Linked DNA regions of Drosophila melanogaster. The protein of the gene in region 2 purifies or fractionates together with the protein of the main gene of each other region. This does not show direct contact. Each region holds a gene or a part of one and is shown on either strand. Other genes may lie near its edges.

Region 1 (8,877 bases), 4.5 Mb from region 2:
GTGCCGATGGAAGTGCGCACGCCCTTGCGCACGTCCTCTTAGGACTCCGGATACCAGGCATCCGCTTCCGTTGATTGATTTATAAGATTATTTTGTTGCACCGGCCTCGGCCCATTCGGGTATTATGTTTATAGGTAGTATTTATTCTTTAAGCCGATATGAATTCGATTTTGTTTGTTTTTCGATCCCTAATCCAATAAATGATCCCTCTAGATATGTACACCATCCTGTCTATTTCCTTGGGTGGTAAGCAAACCTATCTATTCCTCCGGCGAAGGTTTTTCTTCTTCGGGCACAACTATGGTGCCATCCACTTCGAAGAGAACGTGACCGAACAACTGGGTTACCTCAACGAGCTGCTGGAACTGCTCCATGTCCTCGTAGCGCAGGTTGTTCACATCCTGGTAGTTCTTCAGCGAGGTCAGCAGTTCGTGATCGGAGAGATCTCCATCCTTTTTCAGGATTATCATCAGAGCCTTTAGCTCCTTAACACTCAGCTTGAGGAACGAGTTGTCCATGAGCACCTGCGTGGCTACGGGGAGGATTTTCTGGAATGGTATGGGGATTAAGCGAGATAAAAGTGCGGAAATTCATACTTTCGCCACGAGATCCATCAGTGCCGGATGGTGGTGCTCGCTGGCCAGGTGGAAGACCTGCAGAACCACCTCCATGGGCCACTCCTGGTGGGCCAGCTTGTCGATGTAGCAGTCGATGAAGTCCAGCATCTCGTAGCGCTCGGCCAGCAGCATGAGGTCACCGCACATGTCGATGGTCACCGCATTGCACACCTCGTACGTGTAGATGTAGAGGAGCAACGCCTCGTAGGCGGTGGGAGAGGCGTCGTCCACGCTGATCACTCGCTTGTTCTTCTGGAACTCGGGATCCCTGATCAGGCGCTCGAACTCCGCGGAGGCGGAGATGAGCATCACCTGGTGGCAGCGGAAAATGCATGGACAACGCTTGCCCTCCTTCAACTTGTCCGGTTGCGAGACATGGAGCTCGCAGTCCGACTTTTGGCCATTCCGCAACAGGTCCAGGCGGCGTAGCTTGCAGTTCATAGTGACTGGGGATTTTTTGGAGGCTTTGCTCTCACATAGCACAAAATTTGGAATTCGAAATTAGGGTTTCCCTGGCAGGAATGTCAGACTCTGAGAAGGAGGCCGCCGGCAAAGCCCACCTGGGAAGCAACAATCGGTGGTCCGACCTGGAGGAGGAGGAGGAGGGTGAGGCGAACGACCAGGGAGGGATCCAGAACTTGAGGCCGGAACTCGTTGTGCCCAGAACCACAGCTGCATCGGATGTTGAGGAGAATTTACCATTGGGTTCTCCGAGTGATGGGTCCAAACGCGCTACGAGTAGAAACCGCAGACTGGAATACTTTCGCAGTGGAGCCGATGCCGATTGCCAGGTGCACGTCCTGAGCAACTGCCCCCAATCCGATGAGCCGGCGGTCAGTGTGTGCTACAAGAAATTTGGCTGCCATCGGATCTTCCTGGCCACTGCCTCCGACAAACTGGAGCAGGACGTGTACCAGAACAAGGACTGGAACGGCGTACTCCAGATCAATGGGGTTTCGCCCGAGAGCGTGGAGATCTTCCTGGAGTTCATATACACCTTCGAGGTGACCTCGCCGCTGGTCCAGCTGAAGCTGGTGGGGGATATGTTCATCCTGTCCTGCGCGTACAACATGCCGGAGCTCCTTCGCTCCTTTGCTGAGAAACTAAAGGAGCAGGAATTGCCTCTGGATGGCATCTTTCCTGCCTTCGACCTAGCATTCCGGCATAACATCATCGATGTGGAGCGCGTTTGCATCGAGGTTAGTAGATTGGAATATAAAATGGAGCCTTAATTTAGTTAGTTATCCTTTAGAAAATCATAGAGGAAGGCGCATCATTGATCCACGAACCCAGTTTAATGAAACTCCCGGTCTATGCTCTAAACTACGCCATCCAGCACTGGCTGGTGGCGGATGCAGTGCCTCCCGATGAACTCATCACGATTTTAAAGCAGTATCAGGAGATCAATGAGATTACATTCGCCAACACGCAAAAATTCCCGCACTTCACCAAAATTATCAAGTATTTCCCCAATGTTCTTCTGGACGCCGAGGGATTCATCAATCAAAACTAGAAAACTACTTGGAATTCCCAAAAGCTTCGCGCATAAAACCCAAAAATTTAAAAAAAATAAGCCAATAAAATATCAGTTCTCATTAGCATTGTATTGGGTATCTTTTGCATATGGCAAACTGGAAGCTCATCTAAGGGGAAGCTTAGATGAAAGACAGTCTATATTTAAGTTGTAGTTTTCAATAATTTCCTATTGATCAAAAGCGATCCAAACTTTAGAAGCATTTTTCAAAAAGATAAACGAGCAGTGCTGCCAACCGGTTGCACCACTCACGCCGGTATTTTCTTATGCGCCATTTTCGGTATTTTCCGGCAGATACCAGCCAAGAAGCGAACGCGTTATGCGAGGGCCGCATTTGGTACACTAGTGCGCCATTTTACTCGCATAAAGCCGAAAATTCACACAGTGGCCAGAAAGCGAGAAATTGCACAGTGCAAAAAGGTGTTTGGTAATTGATGAAAAGTTTTGCGCGTACCGTGAACCGACCGTTAATGATGTGCCCGCACGCGCAGCGGTGAAAGGCAGTTAATTCGCCTGTGGAGACGCGCTCACCACAACAAACTCGTGCTGTCCGAAAAAAAAAGTCGGCGCTCGGATTGCGGATTATCGAAGTACCGTACGGCAAGGCAGCAAAAAAAGTACGGAAAAGCCGCCCATGCAACGCGGCCAAAAAAGATAATGCAAGTGCAGTAATATTAATTGCCTGGCAGAGCGGCGCATACAGACACACTCCTCCTTTTTTCCCCACTTTTTTTGTTCTCTGGAGGCGCATGTTTTGTTTTTTCGTGCACTGTACCGTGGGCTCAGTGTGTGTGTGTGTGCGTCGGTGTGCCTGTGCGTGTGTGTGTACACATTTTAGGCGGCAATGGTGTGGGGCCCTGGCCAGCCGATAGTCCGCCGCGCCGCGAATGTTATCGATAGACGAGCCCTAACCATTTGTTGTTTGTTTTCCTTTTGTTGCAGTTTTCATGTCTATATAAACAAACGTACAGCGAAAGTCGGTTAAAAAATCAAGCAGCGAAATGGAGGAGATATCCAGTTTGGACTCGTTCGGCGCCGATTCCAATGCGCGACCGGAGTCGGCCACCCCCAGGTCGGAGGAACAACAGGATCAGGATCGACAACAGACTGCTCCGGCGGCCAGTGAAACTCTGGATACGCCCGCCTCGCCGCCAGCGGAGGATGCAGCTGCGCAGGAAAGCAAACCGCCTCCTTCCAAGGAGGCGGATGACGACTTCGAACAGATCTCCGAGGGATCATTAGACGCCGATGATAACCAGTCGCGGGATAAGGCGGCTAGTACACCAGCTGATCCCGTGGATGCGGAGGAGCCCGCCGAGGAGCCAACGCCCAACGAGGAGCCGCAAGGCGGTGAGGATGAGCAGCCACAAACAGAAGCCGTGAGGGTAGATCCACAGGAAGAGCCCGAGGAGGCGGAGGAGGAGACTGATGCCCTCCAGGCCACTGCGGAAGAGGTGGAGGCAGCGGCCGCCGAAGCAGATGCTGTGGACGGCGGTCCCGCTTCACCCGAAGCAATGGATGTGGATGAAGGCGAGGTGGATGCAGAAGGTGAAGCTGAGCAGGAAGCAGAAGACGACGCAGCTCTGGATCGAGAGGCGACAGATGATGTAGATATGCAGTCCGTGGGCGCAGATTCACACCAGGCGGAGGATGCAGAGCCACCGGAGGGCCGAGATGAGGTGGACACAAGCTTAGAGGAGCAGGAAAATGGCCAAGATCCTGATGAACGGGAGAAAGATGCGGCCGCCGATGAAGATGATCCGGATGCAGAAGGAGATGCGGAATCGGAGCAGGTGGATGAAAATGCCGAGGAAACTGGTGAGGCCGAACATGGCGATGGTAAGTCTTAGTACTTCTTTGATGCATGTTTATAAAAGACTAAATGAATGAACTATTTACATTATAGACACAGTGGAAAATGTTTTGGAGCCAGAGGAATCAGATGTTTGCCTTATTCCCGATGATCAAGAAACGGAAGTGACTGAAGCTGAGAAGGAACTGGCCCGCGAGAATGCCGAGAAGGCCGCCGAAGAGGAGGAAGCCGAGGAGCGGCAAGCCAAGACACCCGATAACGATAGAAAGTCCCCGGCAGATGCCGCCGCCGATCCAGAAGACGACAGTGCAGCTGCCGTTGACGCCACCGACGTATCTCCAACCACGCCAACTGGTAAGTGCTCCACACTAAGACTTGAAATGCCCTATCCCACATCTACTCTATCCATTTTGCCTGCAGATGCTCAAGCTGGAGCTAAGTCGGCGGCAACAGGCATTGCAGAAGGTGAGCAGATTGGGTTAATTCCTGGGCAAAACTCACTAACTGCTTCATTCGACTGCATTCTATTCATTTAATTCTTGCTTTAAATTTAGTTTGTTATTACAAAATTGGCTCCTAGCATACAGAACGATTGCTTATTAAAATGTATATAACGTAAATCCCCTTTTTTTGCCAGCAGATGGAGTAGCTGCAGCAGCTAACGAAGAGGAGGCCGGTGGCGATGTTCCCGATCCCGACGAGCCCACAGCCGAGGAATCCTCCAGTGCCGGAGCGGGTGAACCTGGTTCCACGCCGAAAATCATCATTAGTTGGATCGTTGGCAGCGTTCAGAAGTGCAAACAGTGTGGCGATGAAAAGAATTGTGGGTTTCGGTACAGGAGTCCAGAGGAGTCAGAAGAAATGGATAAGGAGAAGGAAAACGATAAGGCAGAGGAGAACGCTGAGGAGGGGGAGGAGGAGGAGGCTCGGCAAAAGCCTGCTGCTCCCAGTGGGTTCGAGTACATCTGCGATACCGCCTGTGTCGACGCCCTGCTAGAAGATCAACCCGGCAAGTACTTTGTACGCCGCAAGAAGTTCCTGGTCGAGGAAGTGGTTCGAGAAGAAGGCGCCGCCGAAGCGGAGGCTAGCGCCGATGGCGAGGGCGGAGATGCCGAGGAGGAAGCTACTCCAGCCAACACGCAAGATTGCCTGCAGTGCAAGGATAAGACGCGGTGCAAATATTTCATTAAACAGGACCAGGACTGCTTCTACATTTGCAATGACGATTGCTTCAATCTGCTCAACGCTGAGGAGCCAGATAAATTCAAGCTGAAGCGGCACTCGATTCGAGTGCGCAACATTGGCGCCACAACGCTGCAGCCACCGCAAAATTCGCCCACCAAACGGACCGACGGCAGCGTGGTGGCCAGGACGGTGGAGGAGGCAGAGACGGCGCGCCTGGACAGGATCGAAAGCTTCCGAAGGCGCTGCGCCGACTGCGAGGCGGATATCAATACGGACGAGAAGCAGCTCATGTGGGAGACCATGGACTTCTGCAATGAGGTGTGCCTGGGCAGCTATCAGCGCACCATTGGCTCCACCTGCGAGACCTGCAAGCAGGAGGTGAGCTCCATAGCGCTTGGCAAGTACTGCGTGCGATTCGGTTTCGATGTGCGGCAGTTCTGCTGCGCCGGCTGCCTTAACACCTTTAAGAAGGGTCTGAAGACGTGCTCCTGCTGCCAGAAGGACATCAGCGGCGGGCAGGAGGGCTTCCTTGCCCCGGTGGGTGACAAGGATCAGTTCAAGGACTTCTGTTCGCAATCCTGCCTCCGTCGCTACGAAAGCATGTGCAATCCCCGACGAAAACTACGCACCGATGTCTGCGGTGTGTGCAACAACCAGAAGCCAGTGAGGGTGGAGATGCTGCTGGAGGACAGAGAGCACTACTTCTGCTCGAATCCCTGCTTCTCCGCCTTTAAGTTTGTGAGCAACGTGAACGCTGATCCGTGTGCCATGTGCTCCAAATACTTTGAGCGGCGGAGCGCCGAGTCCTACACCATCTACAACGAACAGCAGTCACCGAAGGTCTTCTGCTCGCGGGTCTGCATAAATGTGTACATCATCGTCAACAGGCACATCGTCTCCTGCCAGTGGTGCAAGGTGAAGAAGTACAACTTTGACATGATCTATCAGATTGGTGGGCCGCACGATCAGGAGACGCTCACCTGCTCCATCAACTGCCTGACCATGCACGGCGTTAGCTGCAACATCTCCGCCAGGGCGGTTACCAAATGCGACAATTGTTCCAACTTCAATACGCCACAGTATCATTTGACCATGTCGGATGCTTCCATGCGCAACTTTTGCACCTACCAGTGTGTGATGCAGTTCCAGAATCAGTTCGCCCGCGCTCCCCTCACGCTGGACAGCGACCTACCGCCCAGTAGCGCCGGCAGCTCCAAGTCCCAGCAGCAATCCAATCGAGGCAACAAGAATGCGGCACCATTTCCCACGGGCCTGCCCAAACGTGTCAAACTGAAGCTCTCCCACGTGAGTCAAAAACTAAATAATAAACTAAAAGGGTACACACTGGGTTTTTTTTAAGTTTTTACAATCGAATGATAGCCATGCAATAAGTGTTAAAATATTGAACGTAAACGAAGTATTTGCAATTTTTTTTACCTGCTCGCTTAATTATTAATACATTTACTTCAATTTGGCTTTCAATTCAAGTTTCAATTGCAATCCTAATTTCATTCAATGTCCACCAAAATGGGAATTAACGTAAATTAATTAAGTATCATACCTAAGTTGCATATAATTAATGTCCCCGATAATTGCAGACTGGAAAAGGTGGCGTTGGAGGCAAGAAATCCGGCTCCGGCACCATGCTACCGGTTATATCCACGGTGCAATCGCTCGCCAGCGGCGAAACCGAAGCCCGGATCGGCAATCTGACGGTTCGTCGCAAGCGTGGACGTCCACGGGAATCGGGAACCTCATCACCGCCGCTGTCCATGCCGGGTGTCCATCCGCCAGCACAGCGAGGAAGGCCACGCAAGCACGCTGTAGACTACTCGGCGCGTTCACCATCGCCCACGATGTCAGGTGGCAGCTCCCACATGGGCATTCCGGTCAGGCGAAATACTACCACGACTATGGATTTCGGGCCGGCTACGGTAACGGAGACCAAGATCATCACAGTGCCACCATATCCCAAGGCTGTGCGAAACGTGAACATAAGCTGTAAGCCCTTAACGGTGACCCAGGGCGAGCAGTGTAGTCCGGATGTGCGGGATTGCGCCACCCAGACGGAGAAAGACTACTCCAACAAGGTGCTCATCCCGGTTCCGGTGCCCATCTTCGTGCCGCAACCCATGTACATGTACTCGGCTCCGTTCCCCGTACCAGTGCCCATTCCGCTGCCAATCCCGGTGCCTATTTTCATACCCACCACGCGCAACACCGCGCAAGGCATACTTAAGGAGATCAAGAAGATACAGGACAAGATGCCAGAGGATCCACTGGAGGCGGAGTTGCTTATGATGGCCGAGATGGTGGCAGAGGAGAAGCACGAATCGGACTCCGATTCGGACAACGAGATCAAGCCGGATCCGGGCCTGGTAGCTCTGCAGTACCAGAACAGCCTCGAGTCCGTCGCCCAACAGCAGCAACAACAGCAAGTGGTGGACGTTAGCGGAGCCGGACATAATCCCTACGGCGACGATATGCTGCAGATAGCCCTCAAGATGGCCACAGGCGACTACGACAATCATCACCAGACCTCGACGGTGGATCTGGAAACGTCGATGACGGCGAATACGATCAGCAGCCAGTCGCCGATGGGTCACGACGGAATGGGTCAAATGGGAGTACATCATCTAGATCAGCAGCATCACATGCTTGATGCCACGCAGCGGTGAGTTAAGAGAGATGGCAATCAGAGATCAATACTCAAGTACTTAAATGTGATGACTTTCAGAACCGCACGTGGACGCAAGCGCGGCGTAGGCGTCGTCATGGACCCACCCAACCGCAACAGCCGCTCGCCGGTGAAAAGGCAGCGCGGCGGCGAGATGGATCACTCGGCCCTGCAGCAGCAGTCGCAGCAGGCACAGCAGCCGCAGGAGAAGCCCGACGCCCAAATGTTCCTGAAGTACACCTTCGGGGTGAACGCATGGAAGCAGTGGGTGATGACGAAGAACGCGGACATCGAGAAGAGCTCGATGCGCCGGCGGCCCTTCAAGACGGAGCTGCTTCAAATGACCGCCGACGAGTTGAACTACTCGCTTTGCCTCTTCGTCAAGGAAGTGCGCAAGCCCAACGGGACGGAATACGCGCCGGACACCATCTACTACCTTGTGTTGGGTATGTAGTTACTCCCCAGGTTTACACATGTACCATTTGATTTTATTGGAATCTCTTCCTTCAGGCATTCAGCAATATCTGTATGTGAATGGACGCATAGACAACATATTCTATGATCCGTACTACGAGCGGTTTACCGAGTGCCTTGACGAGGTGGCGCGCAAGTTCTCCGTGCTTTACAACGATTCGCGTAAGTTGAATCAACTTGAAATGAGTCAGTTCCAGCGTAACCACATCTTTATACACCTAAACAGAATACATTGTCACTCGCGTGGAGGAGGAGCACTTGTGGGAGTGCAAGCAACTTGGCGCCCATTCGCCGCATGTTCTGCTGAGCACGCTAATGTTCTTTAACACCAAGCACTTTAATCTGACGGTAGGAGTAAACGATGCCGCATTTGTTGACCTGGGCTAAATTGCGTTTGGTTTTTCAGACCGTGGAGGAGCACATGCAGTTATCCTTCTCGCACATAATGAAGCACTGGAAGCGCTCATCACAGAATTCCAAAGTTCCTGGCTCACGAAACGTGCTCTTACGATTCTATCCACCGCAGGCGGGTCTGGGTAAGCTCTTAACTAAGCTTCGTATGCACAGAAACTGAGCT
Region 2 (4,228 bases):
GTGCAGTAGATAAAGCCGCACTGGATGAATGTGTTGTCCATTACCACTACATTTATGTTCTTTCCGCAGTGCAAGGGAATGTATGGAAGACACTGAAACCGAATAAATGCAAATGACAACTGTGTACTTGATGTTTTTTTAAGTTCTGGCTTACGTCCTCTTTGTATCCCAAGTCCGAGACAGACGGCTCAACAGGAGTTAGGATGGTCTTGAAAAGGCGGTTGAGGCTCCTATTAATATCGATCTCGGTCATCACCACGACCTGCATGCCCTTGCTGGTATCGTACTCACGTGACGAGTACTTGATATTAAAAACTAGGGACTGGTCGAGTTCGTACATGACTTCCCTTATGTTGGGACCCACAAAGCGCCTGGGAACTCCGCGTAATTTAACGGCTACGGGATAGCAGGTCAAACCAGCTAAATACGAACTGCATTCATACAGTCTTTCCAGCTGCGTGACTTCAACACTTCCGAAATCAATGAACACTACATAGATTTCCTTGATATTATCCACGTTTAGCACCATGGCGCGCGACATATGTCCCTCGAACTTGTAGAGCACAATTTGTCCGCAGACTGGCGTACTCTGCAGTTTGGAGGCATCTTTGCCCAGCATCATTACCTCCGTGAGAACTGTATAATAGGCGATGTCAATCTGAATGTCCGCCGAGCGCACATAGACCACGTTAGTCTGCTCGAATGCAGTAATTCTCACTTTAGATCCAGACGGCGGCAAGCCGGGTTTGGGGTACTTCCGGCCCACCTTTTCGTCAAGGTTAAGTATCTCACCCTTGCCGCAAGCTTGCTTATGCTGCTCTGCCACATCGGCGAAACAGGAGGCATTGCAGAAGGGCATTTTGCACAGCTTGCAGAAAGTGTCTGTCCAGTTTTGACAAACCACGCACTTGCTGACGCCGTCTTCCAGCAGGCTTTTAGTTTTATCCTCTTCGGTGACAGCAACCGTTGACCTGAGTGATGCAGAAACTATACTCGTTAGCTAATCAAGGGCACGTGACCAGGTGGCTATACTAACAAAGGAATCGTTCTGCCCGAACGAAAGTGCAGAACGACCTGCGGGATTCTGGTCTCATCCTTAAGCTTGTAGATATCATGGCGCTCCAGTGCGAATTCGTACTTTACATTGAGATAGCGTTGAATGGGGTCGTTGGTGGCCAACAATGAACCTCTTTTGTAATCATCTTTGGTGACCAGCGGTGGCCGGAAGAACTCCGGATGATTTTGTCCTCCGGTCGAGATCGGAACCTCTCTGTTGTGATTCACTGGCGTACGTTCAGTGGCCGAAATTGCTGGGCCTGGTGTTGGCATTGGCTCAGTGGAAGTCACCGGATCGCTGGTGATTTCCCGCTCCTTTTGCGGGCGACCAGTGATGCACTTGATCAGGTTCGGGTAACGCTGCACCCGCTGTTGCGCTGTCTCCAGGGATCTGGAAAAAGGATTATACGCTCGAAATATTGAATGACCTGCGAAAGTGCTTGAAGAAACTCACGCGATATTTTCAAAGTAGACAAAGTATACGCGTGACAAGCGGCGGAACTCCATCTCCTTGATGAGCGCCCGACCGAAGAAGTTGATTAGCATCTTTTCGGTCACATAGGGACTGCTTTTTGGAACCACCAAGTATGGATACTTCGCCTGCCTGGTGGCACGTTGCTCCTTTTCGTCCTTTGGCGGCAGCGGGGCTTCCATGATTAGTTTCTGGCCAGACTCGTTAGTGTAACGGTTGCCCACTTGGTCATAGTATTCCCTGGACATTGGATCGAATGCGGACCAATCATCCTGCGAGGATTCGGATTCCATTGCACCTGAGCTTTAAAATTTCACCTGAATTCGAATTGCAAGCGCGTGCGAGTGTGACCGTTTTCTATGCTGTCAGAAGTATGTTGCTATTGTAACTGTTGTTGAAGTCAGCAAACGGTCACACTGGCACTAGTGAAAAAAACCAAGCCGATTTTAAATATTGTAAACAATCTTGTAAAAACACAATAAAAAATGGTTAAAAACGAGCCCAACTTCGTGGTGGAGCGCATCATGGACAAGCGCATTACCAGCGAAGGCAAGGTTGAGTACTACATCAAGTGGCGTGGCTACACGTCGGCGGACAACACCTGGGAGCCCGAGGAGAACTGCGATTGCCCGAATCTCATCCAGAAATTCGAGGAGTCGCGCGCCAAGTCCAAGAAGCGCGGCGAGAAGAAACCCAAGTGCGAAGAGATCCAGAAGCTGCGCGGCTACGAGCGCGGCTTGGAGCTGGCCGAGATCGTGGGCGCAACGGATGTGACGGGCGACATCAAGTATCTGGTGCGCTGGCAGTTCTGCGACGAGTTCGACTTGGTGCCATCGGCACAGATCGTGGAGAAGGATCCGCAAATGCTGATTGACTATTTCCAGAAGATGGCACCTTACTCCCGTCACATTGCGATGCGAATGAAGGGCGTGCCGGAGGAGCTGCGTTTGGCGGCCTCGCGCACCAGTTATCCGCACATTAGCAGTGCGCCCGTCGAAGTGCCGCCGGAGGTGGATCAGTCCGCTGAGTTGGCTGGACATCTTGGTGGAATCGCGCCACAGGTGGACCAGGCGCCGCAGCACCATGCACCCATGGATCTAGCCAATGATACCGACGATTTGGCTAGTGTTTCGTACTCGATTCCCGTGCCCGGCGTTGGCGACATTGCCATCGATGTGCCCATGGCGGAAAATCAATAAGGACGCGAGCAGAATCGACTGTTCAGTCTTTAATCTAAGCCCCTAAGTTTAATTCATACATATGTATAGCTATCTGAAACCACTGGGTTCGTCCAGATTCATGTGACCCAACTGGCCGGAGCGAAAGAAGTGAATGAACTTTCGCGCGGCCGCCAATAAATTTGTCATCACCTCCACGCGTCCGTCGTACTGCTTGACCTTGTGGAATAGCTCCTCCCGATGAGCGTACTCCGCCAGCACGGCGCTGATGTCGTCACTGGGTCCGGAGCTGAGCTTTAGCATCTCCACGTAGTCGTATTTGCGGTGGCTATTCAGCCAGTACAGCAGATAGTCGGCTATCAGATCCTCGCCCACAATATGATCGGGAAGGCAGCCCACCAGGGCCAGTTTCATGCCCATTTCATCATCCTTAATGGAGGGCTGGAGGATGCCGGGTGTGTCGATCATGTAAACAGGCGGATTCTCTTGGATTTTGATGCGTTCGCCGACGGATCGAGTTATACCCGCCTCGGCACCCACGCGTGCGGCGCTCTTCTTCTTGAGATGCACATTTCGCAGCACATTGATCACGGAACTCTTGCCCACATTGGGCACGCCGATGATCATCAGATTGTGCTCGGCAGCTTGGGTGCGATTGAAGCGACTGCTCTCGCTCACGAGGCGCGTTGCCAGGGGCAGGATGTCCAGCACGCCGTTGTTGCGCTGATCCTTGCAGTTGGTGAACAGGATGTGCTGCAGTTCGGGCTGCTGTCTCCTCAGCTGCTGGAGCACGCTCTTCTGCTGTTTGGCGCCCAGCAGATCGACTTTGTTCAGCACCAGAATATGCGGTTTAACACCACTTCCTGGGGAATATGAGTCCCGTATTAAGTGGCAGCTTATGGTTGTAAACGTACTCACCGGTGATTGTGTCAAAGAACTGGGAGTTTCTGCCCGCCAATGGGATGCGTGCATCGTGAATCTCGACTATGCAGTCTACATTTCGTAGTTTTTGCTGAATTTGCCGCATACCCTTGGTCATGTGGCCGGGAAACCAGTTGATGCGCTGCTTGGACGGCAGCCGGAAGGCATTGCGGAATGGATTCAGCTGCGCTGCCATGATGCGGAATCCATGTAATGCTAGCGAATCCAAATCAAAACTTTCAAACAGCTGTTGGCCAGTGACGTAACAATTGACCCAGGATTGTGTGTGGTCACACTAGTGGGGGGAGTTGGCTGTTGGGTGTGGCAGCACTGGCTGATTTAAATTTGAATTTAAAATTAATTATACAGATTTTTATTTTTTGGTACAAAACTAAGATTGTAAATACTAAGTTTATTTTCCGCGGTACAGCTGCACCGCTTTCTTGTTGGATACCTCCAGAAGTCCCGGCTCCCGTTGCACTTTATAAGTGAGCAACTTTGCGTATTCCTGGAGCATCTTACTCCAATAGCACTGCACATCCTCCATTCGGAGGTGGAGCCAAATGAACTGCTGTCCCCGTTCCGCAATCTCCTCCGCCAG
Region 3 (8,914 bases), on a different chromosome or scaffold from region 2:
TCCAAATTGTATTGGACCGGTCTGCTGCACCGGCATGCTCTGATGTACTGGCATATTCTGCACGGGCTCATGCTCAACTGGCGCCGACAAGTATTCCTGTTGAAGTTCCGCTTGCGGTTCATTCGGCTGTCCCTGCATCTGTTGCTGATGTCCCACCTGTTGATGGTGTTGCTGCAAATGATGGTCCTCCTGCGGCGGCAACATGTCGGAGCTCTGATCCGCGACATCATCAGCAGTCTCGCTAATATCTGCACCTTCACCAGAGGTTTCTCCATCGCGTCGAACCAGGCCCAACATGTCCAGCATATTACGCTTGACGGCATTCTCACTGGCAGCCTCCAAACTTGGGTAGCAGGTGCTAAGTCCACAATTTGCCAAGTGCTGAGCCATCTTGTTGCCGTTGCCGGTGGCAAAGCCGCAGATGCAGTGCATCTCCTGTGGCATATTCACTTCCATGGCGTCCACAAAGTTTCCATTACATTCCACGCCATGACGGAATTGCGCTCGCTCGCAACATGTCTGATAATTGCACTTAACGCAGTGTAGCCAACCACTGGGAAAAGATTTAATATAAAAAAGTGATTAAATGAGTGCGTAGAGCGCCAAAACCTTTTATTACAAATTATTGCCTCACACATTCTAATGAGTTTTCCCCAAGAGATCAATCAGCCACTATTAAATCAATTAGCTGCTGACTTATAAACCTCAACCCGCGGTTCTGGCTTGTCACAATTGAATCAACCACCATGTGCAAAGTGTTAACCTTATTGGTCGTTATTTTATTACTGGCGCTAACAAACGCTGCTTACAATGTGACATTGTTGAAATCCGTTCTAAGTCTCATCTCTACACGGGAGCCGTGGATAAATACACCAATATTCGTCGGACATAATACGCAAGGAGGCGACCTCAACGACTTGATTATTTGGCTCCATCAAACAATGGGAGTTACTAGCTTGACAATGAATTTATTTCTCCAACCTGAACATATAAGACCCCTTGGTCATTTTAAAATCACTAGATACAATGGCATAGCTTTGTTCTTTTGTCATGATAAACATGATATCATGTGGCTTACTCTGGATAGAAATCTACGAAAACTCCGTCGCATTCGATTGATCATCATTCTGCGTAATCAAAGAAGTGGCTCGCAAGGTGCTATTAAATCAATATTCAACGCCTTATGGCAATATCAATTCCTCAACGTTCTTGTCCTGCAAAGGGATCAGCTTTATTCCTACACTCCGTATCCGGCGATGCGTTTTTTCAAACTCGATATTCATACGGAACCGCTATTTCCACATGCAGCAAGGAATTTCCATGGATATGTAGTATCCACTCCGGCGGAAAATGATATTCCGAGAGTGTTTCATGTGCACGATCCATTAACGAAGAGCAGAAAGGTGCTGGGATACGCATATCGCACATTCGTGGAATATTTGGATCACTATAATGCCTCGCTGCGTTTGACCAATCCAGATGAGAATCTAGACCCAACAACTAGTGTGAATATGAACCACATTGTGCAGTTGATTATAGACGGTCAATTGGAAATCTCTTTGCACCCGTACGTTTTCACACCCCCAACAGCAACCAAGAGTTACCCCTTACTAATATATCCAAACTGCTTGATTGTGCCCATGAGAAATGAGATTCCAAGGCACATGTACCTATTGCGACCATTCCAATTGTACAGCTGGTATATTCTGTTATTCGCAGTTTTCTACATCACTGGAATTCTCTATTGCATAAGCCCGAAACTCAATAAAAGTTCTTGGCCGCAACGCTTGGGATTGAATTTTCTAGATGCGATAAGCAAGATACTTTTTATCAGCCCCCCTATAACAATTTACAGACCAACATGGCGCCATTTGATTATTTTCCTACAACTTTCAGTCCTGGGATTCATGTCCACAAGTTGGTACAACATTGAGTTGGACAGCTTCTTCACAACCATAGTAGTGGGCGAGCAAGTAAATAGCATGGATCAGCTTGTCCACCAGCAGCAAAGGGTGCTCGTCAAGGAGTATGAAATTAACACATTTCTGCGCCATGTTGAACCTCGATTAGTGGAAAAAGTATCTCGGCTTTTGGTGCCTGTAAATGCCAGTGAACAGGTGTCCGCTTTGCTGAGTTTTAATCGCAGCTTCGCGTACCCTTTTACAGAAGAACGTTGGCAGTTTTTTGCCATGCAACAGCAATATGCCTTTAAGCCGATTTTTCGCTTTTCATCTGCTTGCTTGGGATCTCCACATATTGGCTATCCAATGCGCGTTGACAGCCACTTGGAGACATCCCTTAACCATTTCATATTGAAGATTCAGGATACTGGACTGCTGAATCACTGGGTAGTTTCCGACTTTAACGATGCCATGCGTGCTGGATACGTTAGGTTTGTAGATAACGTCCTGGGCTATCAAAGTATCGATGTGGATACTTTGAGACTGGGCTGGTGTGTCTTGGGAATTGGTTGGATACTGTCAGCTCTGGTTTTCTCTTGTGAATACTGGCACCTTTATCCATGGCGATTTATTGCTTAGGTAAATAAAATATTTTTGAACTTACGTGTAATGTGTCTCCTCGCTGGCGAAATCGGTGTTGCACTCGGCACAGGTCTTACCCTCCAGAAAAGCAAAGAATACTGGCCGCTTGTAGGTGGAGAACGGCGGCTGCTCGCGGTGATGGGTGCGAATCTTTGGCGGTGGTATCAACATCGAGTTGTTGAGTAAGAGACGCACCGGTCTATTGGTCTTAGTCATGCTCACATGATGCTGCACTGCGTGCTGCTTTAGATCCCCCTTCTCGAGGAAGGATAGCGAGCATTTCTGGCAGCGCAGCGAGGGATCACGCTTGTTGATGTGCTCGTCCAAATGCATGAAGTAATGTTCTATGCGCAGCTGGTTAACGACGCCAAGCTTTGAGAAGTAGAAAATCTAAAAAGAATCAGTTTTTAATAGAGAGAACTTTACAAGATTACTTTACCATGACAGCTACTTACATCCAAGCAATAGGGGCACTGTAAAAAGTTTTGATGCTTGTGGTCGTCATAAAAATGCCTGACCAAATCGCGGTGCGAAGATGATCGATAGCCGCAGGAGTGACACCAATATGGTAGTTCCAGGGTGCTGTGGACCTTCTGCAAATGAGCCGTCAACAGATGCAGGGAATTGTGACGCTGCTGGCATATTAGGCAGTAGTACGAGGGTGAACCCTCCGTTTTTGTCTCAGTTGGATGCATGATCTGGTTGTGTTTGGCCAAAACCGACTCGGTGGGATGCTTCTCCAAGCAAAAAAGGCACTGGAACTGGTGCTGCTTACCCTCTGGCGAAATATGCGATACTAAATGCGTTTGGAGTTTCTCATTGGAATCGAAGGAGTCGCCGTTCAGGCAGATTGGACACTCCACGGTCTTGGCCAGTTCGTTGTGAACCGTACGGGGTGTGCTATATGGAAAGATCTCGTGGTACTCGTCCGTACCATCACTTATTCCATAGTACAGCTCCTCCAAGCCCCTTAGATCATCCTCTTCTTTCTTAATGACCATTGGAATCTTTTCATCTTTTTCTTTCGGTTTTTTACCAAGGCCTTTAGCTATCAGAGATTTAGACAGTGATTTAGATGACGAGGTCGTTGCTCTGTCTCCTTTTGTCTGGTTGGTACTGCCCGGCGGCCGACCTGGACCCTTTTTAATTGGCAATTGAGGTGGTGGGGTGCCTAATGCATTCGGTGGACGGCCGCGCTTGACTCCAGATGATGCTATATCACGATCCTTTTCCTTCTTGGGAATCTTGTTAGAAACAACGTAGTCAGCATCGTTGATAGCTGCAATTGAAGATGTTAACTTAAAAAGATGTAATCTCAACATACAAACTTAAACATTACATATTTGTCCATTTTTGTTGAATCTGGTGGAATGGGTCCAATCAATTTAATTAGTAAATTCTTTCTTGCGTTTTATCACTCCAAATGAAAAAGGAAATCAAATAAAAACAGTTATTAAATTTCTTGCAAGTTTATTTATGGTTTCTCTAATGGGGTTGTTTTAAAATAATTAGACACGAGAAATGTCAGGAAGTAATGCTTAAATTGTACATATGTGAATATATCAATGATACATTTCACCTATATAGATTATATAAATTCACAATTCACATAACACAATAAGTGGACCTGAGCTCAGCTGTTGGGTTCGATTAACCAAAACTAATCAAACAAAACGAAAACATTTCAGTTTGGAGTGAGAAACGCAGGCACTTAACAGATTATCATAACGCACTATTCTATTCACGGCCTAAATAAAAACTTGCTACAAAAGTACGATAGTACTAACGTTTCTTGAGGCGCTTGGGAGCAGCATTGGCAGGTGTCTCCTTGTAGTTGGCCGGCAAAATACTCCAGTCCTTGAACGGATTGGTTGCCACCTAAACGAAAGAGCTATTAAAGGCTAATCGCTAATAAAAATTTTTCGATTCTGCTTACCTGATACAGACGCTGAGTGATTGTCTCATTGGTGGTTACTCTTGTCTGCTCGGCAATGTGTATTATGATATTGTTGAATGCCTGCAAGGCATATGTACCAAAGGACTCTCGCCATACCAACTCGTCGAGGAATTGTTGAATCATCTGGCGAGATAGCAACGATAGGGTGTTCTGGAACATGCGCGGCACAATCCGTCGCAAATATTCCATTACCGCTGAGTTGTTGTGCTTGGCTGTGTTGTCAGTGGCAGCTGCTTGGACAATATTTTTGAATCCCATGCTGAAGAGGGTGATCTTGTCGACAGTCAAGTCTATACAAATGGTGCTGTCCTTGTGCACCCAGCGCGACAGTGGCTCAAGAATGGCCTGGAATCGCTTTTTGTAGTTACGATCACCATCGGTGATTGGCTCTACAGCCCGCAGTCGGATGGACTTCTCCGCATAATCATAGACGCCCAGAACCTCAACTTTCACTTGTCGCTGGGAGCCATCTTGGGATGTGGTTCCTAGGGAAATAACACCCACCTCCACAAACTTGCCGGGACCGCCCAGCTTCTTGCATTTTTGATGCACTGCCAAAGTGCAAATGGCTCTAAGCCAGGTGTAGATTCCTTTGATATAAACACTGTCCACCTTAACCCACTGCACCACATTTTGAATACTGGTCTGGCAAGCCCAGTGGTAAATTAACTTCAACAGGAATGTGGGTGGGTGCTGAGCTCCTTCGAAAATGGAATTGTTGAACACGGAGACGAAGCGGTAGGGGCAACATTCGCTGATCCACACATAGCCACCAGTGTAGGGAAACTTGGTCACATCCGAATAAATTCCTAAATATAAATACATTAATAAACGAATTCAGTTGATCATATATCTCTTACCCAATTTGAGCTCGTTGTTGCGATGGTTTATGCAATGCTGTTGAGCGCGTAGCAATCCCTCCTGGAGCAGCCACTCGCAGAATTTATTGGGCGTAAGCATGAGCACCAGCTTAACCTTCGAGTCCAGCTTGCTGCGGGTGGCAGCCATGTCTTTGATCTTGAGAAAAGGCTTTGCTAGCACCACCAGAGATGGATATGTCTTTCCTTGCATCTTGTTATCCTTGCCATCCTTGCCGTCTTTGCTATCCTTGCTTTCGTCGGTGCTGCCCACCACCAGACCGCCCACCGAATTAACCTCGGCGGGGCGGTAGTTCTTCGGCGGCGATTCGATGTCCGGTTTGGATTCCTTAAATAGTTTTCCACTGCTCTTAGGTACCGGTGAAGAAGATCCTCCACTAGCAGCGGATGCAGCCTTCTTACTGGATTTCGGGGTGAACGAGGAAGATGCATTGGCCACGGCCACTGCTTTTTTGCCTGCAGACAGCGCCAGTCGCTTGGCCAGCGGCATATCGTCGTCTCCCTCATCGGAGGACTCCAGGTAGGCGATGTTGGATGGTTGTCGTGGTGGGCGGCCACGACCCCGCCCTGTGCCACCGCTTTGGGCGGCGGGTGTTGAGGGAGAGTCCGTCGGCTTGGGTGGTTTTTTGGGCAGCGTAGCCTCCTTGAGCTCCTGCAGCACTTTGCCCTTAAAGGAGTAGGCCTGGAACACCTGGCCGTTAAACAGCTCCTTGCCCTCGTTGGCGCTAACCGCGTTCTTTAGTGCACCCTTCACCGCGTTGTGCTCGTTAGTAATCTTCTCGTAGTACGCCAATTGTGCCGGCGACAGCTCCTCCACCCAGAACTCCATGTCCAGGGAGATTTCACTTCTCGTTACGCGCGTCATCTTACAGCTAACTAGTTAACCGACCACTGGCCCAGCGAGGGCGTTGTTTTTAAAAATATTAAGAGCTAAGTAAATTTTTTTTCGCTCGAATTAGCTTTCCTTGCGTGGATGTACCTGCTCGAGTAAATAACATCGATGAAAACATCGATAATATCGGCTTGGGTATTGTCGTGACACACGCACAGTGGTGCACCACACATCGGTTCGTTAAAATATAAACAAATATAAATCAAATTTTTGTATTTAAAAAAAAGTGTTAACGTAAACTGGTCAATTTTATATTCTGCTAATAAGAACAAGAATAAAATTTTTTTACAATTAAGGAATATCATAACAAGAATTGATTTAACGTATAAATAAATGCCATGAATATATTTTCCCACCTAAATATACATTACAGATATTTTTTACTATGATCAGTATGTTGCGGACTATCGACTACCACAAAAAACGCTGAAAGTCTATCGATGATTTTACAAGATGCTTCATCCCTGAAAGTTGGCGCGCAATTCAAACTAAGAGTGCAAAATATTTCTCAACAGTACACAATCAGCAAATAAAATAAAAATATCTAGTACAGCTTATATTTTATTATATTACACTTAATATAATCCATTGTATTTAGCAGGTGCACTTATAAGGCAAAAAATGTTAGCAGGCTAGTTCGTTTTGCGTTGTTCAGTCACCGTGAAGTGTCACCAAATCAATTTGAATTTATGACCACTCGTATATTATCGGTTCATTAGCTACCAAAAGCCCCCGTTGAAGTGGTGACCAATGGAACTTTTTTTATCACAATGTCACAAAAACGTATGTCGCTTTTTTTTATTTCCAGCGCACATTTATGCATTATTTATGTCGTTAATTACCCGATCATAAAGAATTTCTTTAATATTCAGTCCCCACAGAAAGTCGATATGATTCCACTTTTCTTCCGGCATGCGATATGCGCTTTTCAGGGCGCTCGGGTTCATGGTATACCTAAGGCGATCCACGTCAATCAGACTAGCAAAGTAGTCGTTGTCAGAGTAATAGAGATAGGTGGGCACATCGATGCCCTCCACATCGTACTCCGGCGGGGTCTTGCTGCTGTACTCCTTCTTGTTGCGCGTAGATCCGTAGTCGAATTGCCGGAAGTATCCGGAATTGTACTCCTGCAGGTAGTGGAAGATCTGATTTACTGAGCATCCCGCCGGAGTGGTGGCCATAATATCTGGGAGCAGGGTCTCGTTGATATATGGCGAGTTCCAGCCGCCCAGCAGGAATAGGGTGTTGGTGCACATGAACTGTGAAATGGCCTCATCGCTGCAGAGGAGAGCCCCGAACAGGTTCATTAGCTGTGTATTTGGCAAAAATTCGGCGCTGCCGAAGAGCTCGACGAAGGCATTGGGCTGACCAAGCAGTGGTCCACCGACCGTGGCCAAAGGACTCTCCATATGCTCCATCCAGGCCACAGGAGCGAGCAAATGAGCAGATCGAATGCGACTCTTGAAGCGCGGAATCATAGAGTTGAGCACAAAAAAGGATGTGGTTCCTTGAGAGTGACCCACATACGTAAGTTGAGTCACATTTGTCCAGTAAAGGACGTAATCCATCATAGCGGGCAGATCATAGATTCCGATATCGTGCCACTCAAAATTCCAGAAGGGCTGCAGCAGCGGCGACTTGCTGGCGTGTCTTTTGGAGTAGGTGTTGCCTCTGGCATTACCCATCCACACATCGTAGCCCGCTTCGGACAGCAGGTATGCCAGCCCACTGTGAGGTCCAGCAAGAACCCAATCCGAGGAGGAACACAACAGACCGTGCATAAGGAAGACAACAGGGCGTGGCCCATCGTACCCAGTGTTCTTCGAGTACGGTATGCGGTGCATTGTGAGGATGTAACCATCCGAGGTCTGCACCTCGTGCTCCTCGATTTCGTAACCGTGTCCCCTAACAATGGTGACCTGGAAAGTAGAGCAATATAGTGGTTAGTAAGGACTTTTGGGTGCCAAAGAACATGGCATCCTAAAACTTACAGTTGTCACCGAACTGGCGCGCCCCGTATCCGCAGGCAGGGCATTAGCCAAGCCCAGACTTAAAAAAACCGCAATTAGCTGAACCACCAACATTTTGTATTCCACAGGTGCAGGTGCTTTGACCGCTGACTTGGCCGCCCGTGCCTTTTATATGCCCCCCAGGAACTTGATAAGGATTCCTAGATTTGGCTGCCTAATTTATGACTGTTTATTTTTGCCTGCAAAATGGTTTGATTCGCCAAGACTGATAGATCGTGTGGGAATTTCGATCCCAGTTGATTTAACGAATGGCTAGTGGTCATCAGCGATAAGGTCTCCTATAATCTTGATAACTGCTGATTAGGTATAATTGCTAAGAGTTAATCAGCAATTAGTATTTCCTGCTTTGGGCGTACGGCAAACTGGACATTAAAAGACCCCACATCAGTCTGTAAACTGACATGCTAAGCCGGTAAGGACAAAACTCAATAAATGTAGTATATTAAATGAATATGTTAAAAAGAATTAATTGATTTAATATTACACATAGTTCTAAGTTAAATATTTTAAAGTGATTACTATAATTAAAATTCGCGCCTATTAGTTTAAATTAAAATCGGTCGATAAGTCCAAAAATCGATAGGCGGTAAACATGTTGACACAATCAGTGTGGC

Evidence for each region. The genes of interacting proteins can lie anywhere in the genome.
Region 1: the proteins of HP1c (region 2) and woc purify together in Drosophila melanogaster (affinity purification with western blotting; 3 studies listed by BioGRID, with this or other methods). This does not show direct contact.
Region 3: the proteins of HP1c (region 2) and row purify together in Drosophila melanogaster (affinity purification with mass spectrometry; 4 studies listed by BioGRID, with this or other methods). This does not show direct contact.

The regions. Positions count from the first base shown.
Region 1 is NT_033777.3:27,257,668-27,266,544, reverse strand, and holds the start of woc (without children), read left to right. Parts: upstream 1-2,489; 5' UTR 2,490-2,768; exon of another isoform or gene 2,769-2,810; intron 2,811-3,093; 5' UTR 3,094-3,152; coding exon 3,153-3,990; intron 3,991-4,057; coding exon 4,058-4,318; intron 4,319-4,384; coding exon 4,385-4,429; intron 4,430-4,596; exon of another isoform or gene 4,597-4,601; coding exon 4,602-6,454; exon of another isoform or gene 6,455-6,495; intron 6,496-6,559; exon of another isoform or gene 6,560-6,664; coding exon of another isoform or gene 6,665-6,688; intron 6,689-6,747; coding exon 6,748-7,823; intron 7,824-7,886; coding exon 7,887-8,272; intron 8,273-8,336; coding exon 8,337-8,462; intron 8,463-8,526; coding exon 8,527-8,648; intron 8,649-8,706; coding exon 8,707-8,836; intron 8,837-8,877. Other genes in the region: l(3)mbt (lethal (3) malignant brain tumor), read left to right, coding at 1-42; CG14260 (uncharacterized protein), read right to left, coding at 261-548, 597-1,058; CG14262 (uncharacterized protein), read left to right, coding at 1,139-1,816, 1,870-2,130.
Region 2 is NT_033777.3:22,743,704-22,747,931, forward strand, and holds HP1c (heterochromatin protein 1c), read left to right. Parts: upstream 1-1,916; 5' UTR 1,917-2,013; coding exon 2,014-2,727; 3' UTR 2,728-2,796; downstream 2,797-4,228. Other genes in the region: vret (vreteno), read right to left, coding at 1-92, 155-971, 1,037-1,447, 1,511-1,821; CG17141 (uncharacterized protein), read right to left, coding at 2,797-3,569, 3,625-3,823; CG31139 (uncharacterized protein), read right to left, coding at 4,040-4,228.
Region 3 is NT_033778.4:15,207,247-15,216,160, forward strand, and holds the start of row (relative of woc), read right to left. Parts: upstream 6,389-8,914; 5' UTR 6,244-6,388; coding exon 5,361-6,243; intron 5,310-5,360; coding exon 4,480-5,309; intron 4,422-4,479; coding exon 4,331-4,421; coding exon of another isoform or gene 4,326-4,330; exon of another isoform or gene 3,999-4,325; intron 3,823-3,998; coding exon 2,999-3,822; intron 2,934-2,998; coding exon 2,566-2,933; intron 2,541-2,565; coding exon of another isoform or gene 747-2,540; intron 554-746; coding exon 1-553. Other genes in the region: Ir51b (ionotropic receptor 51b), read left to right, coding at 747-2,540; CG8093 (uncharacterized protein), read right to left, coding at 7,086-8,189, 8,262-8,354.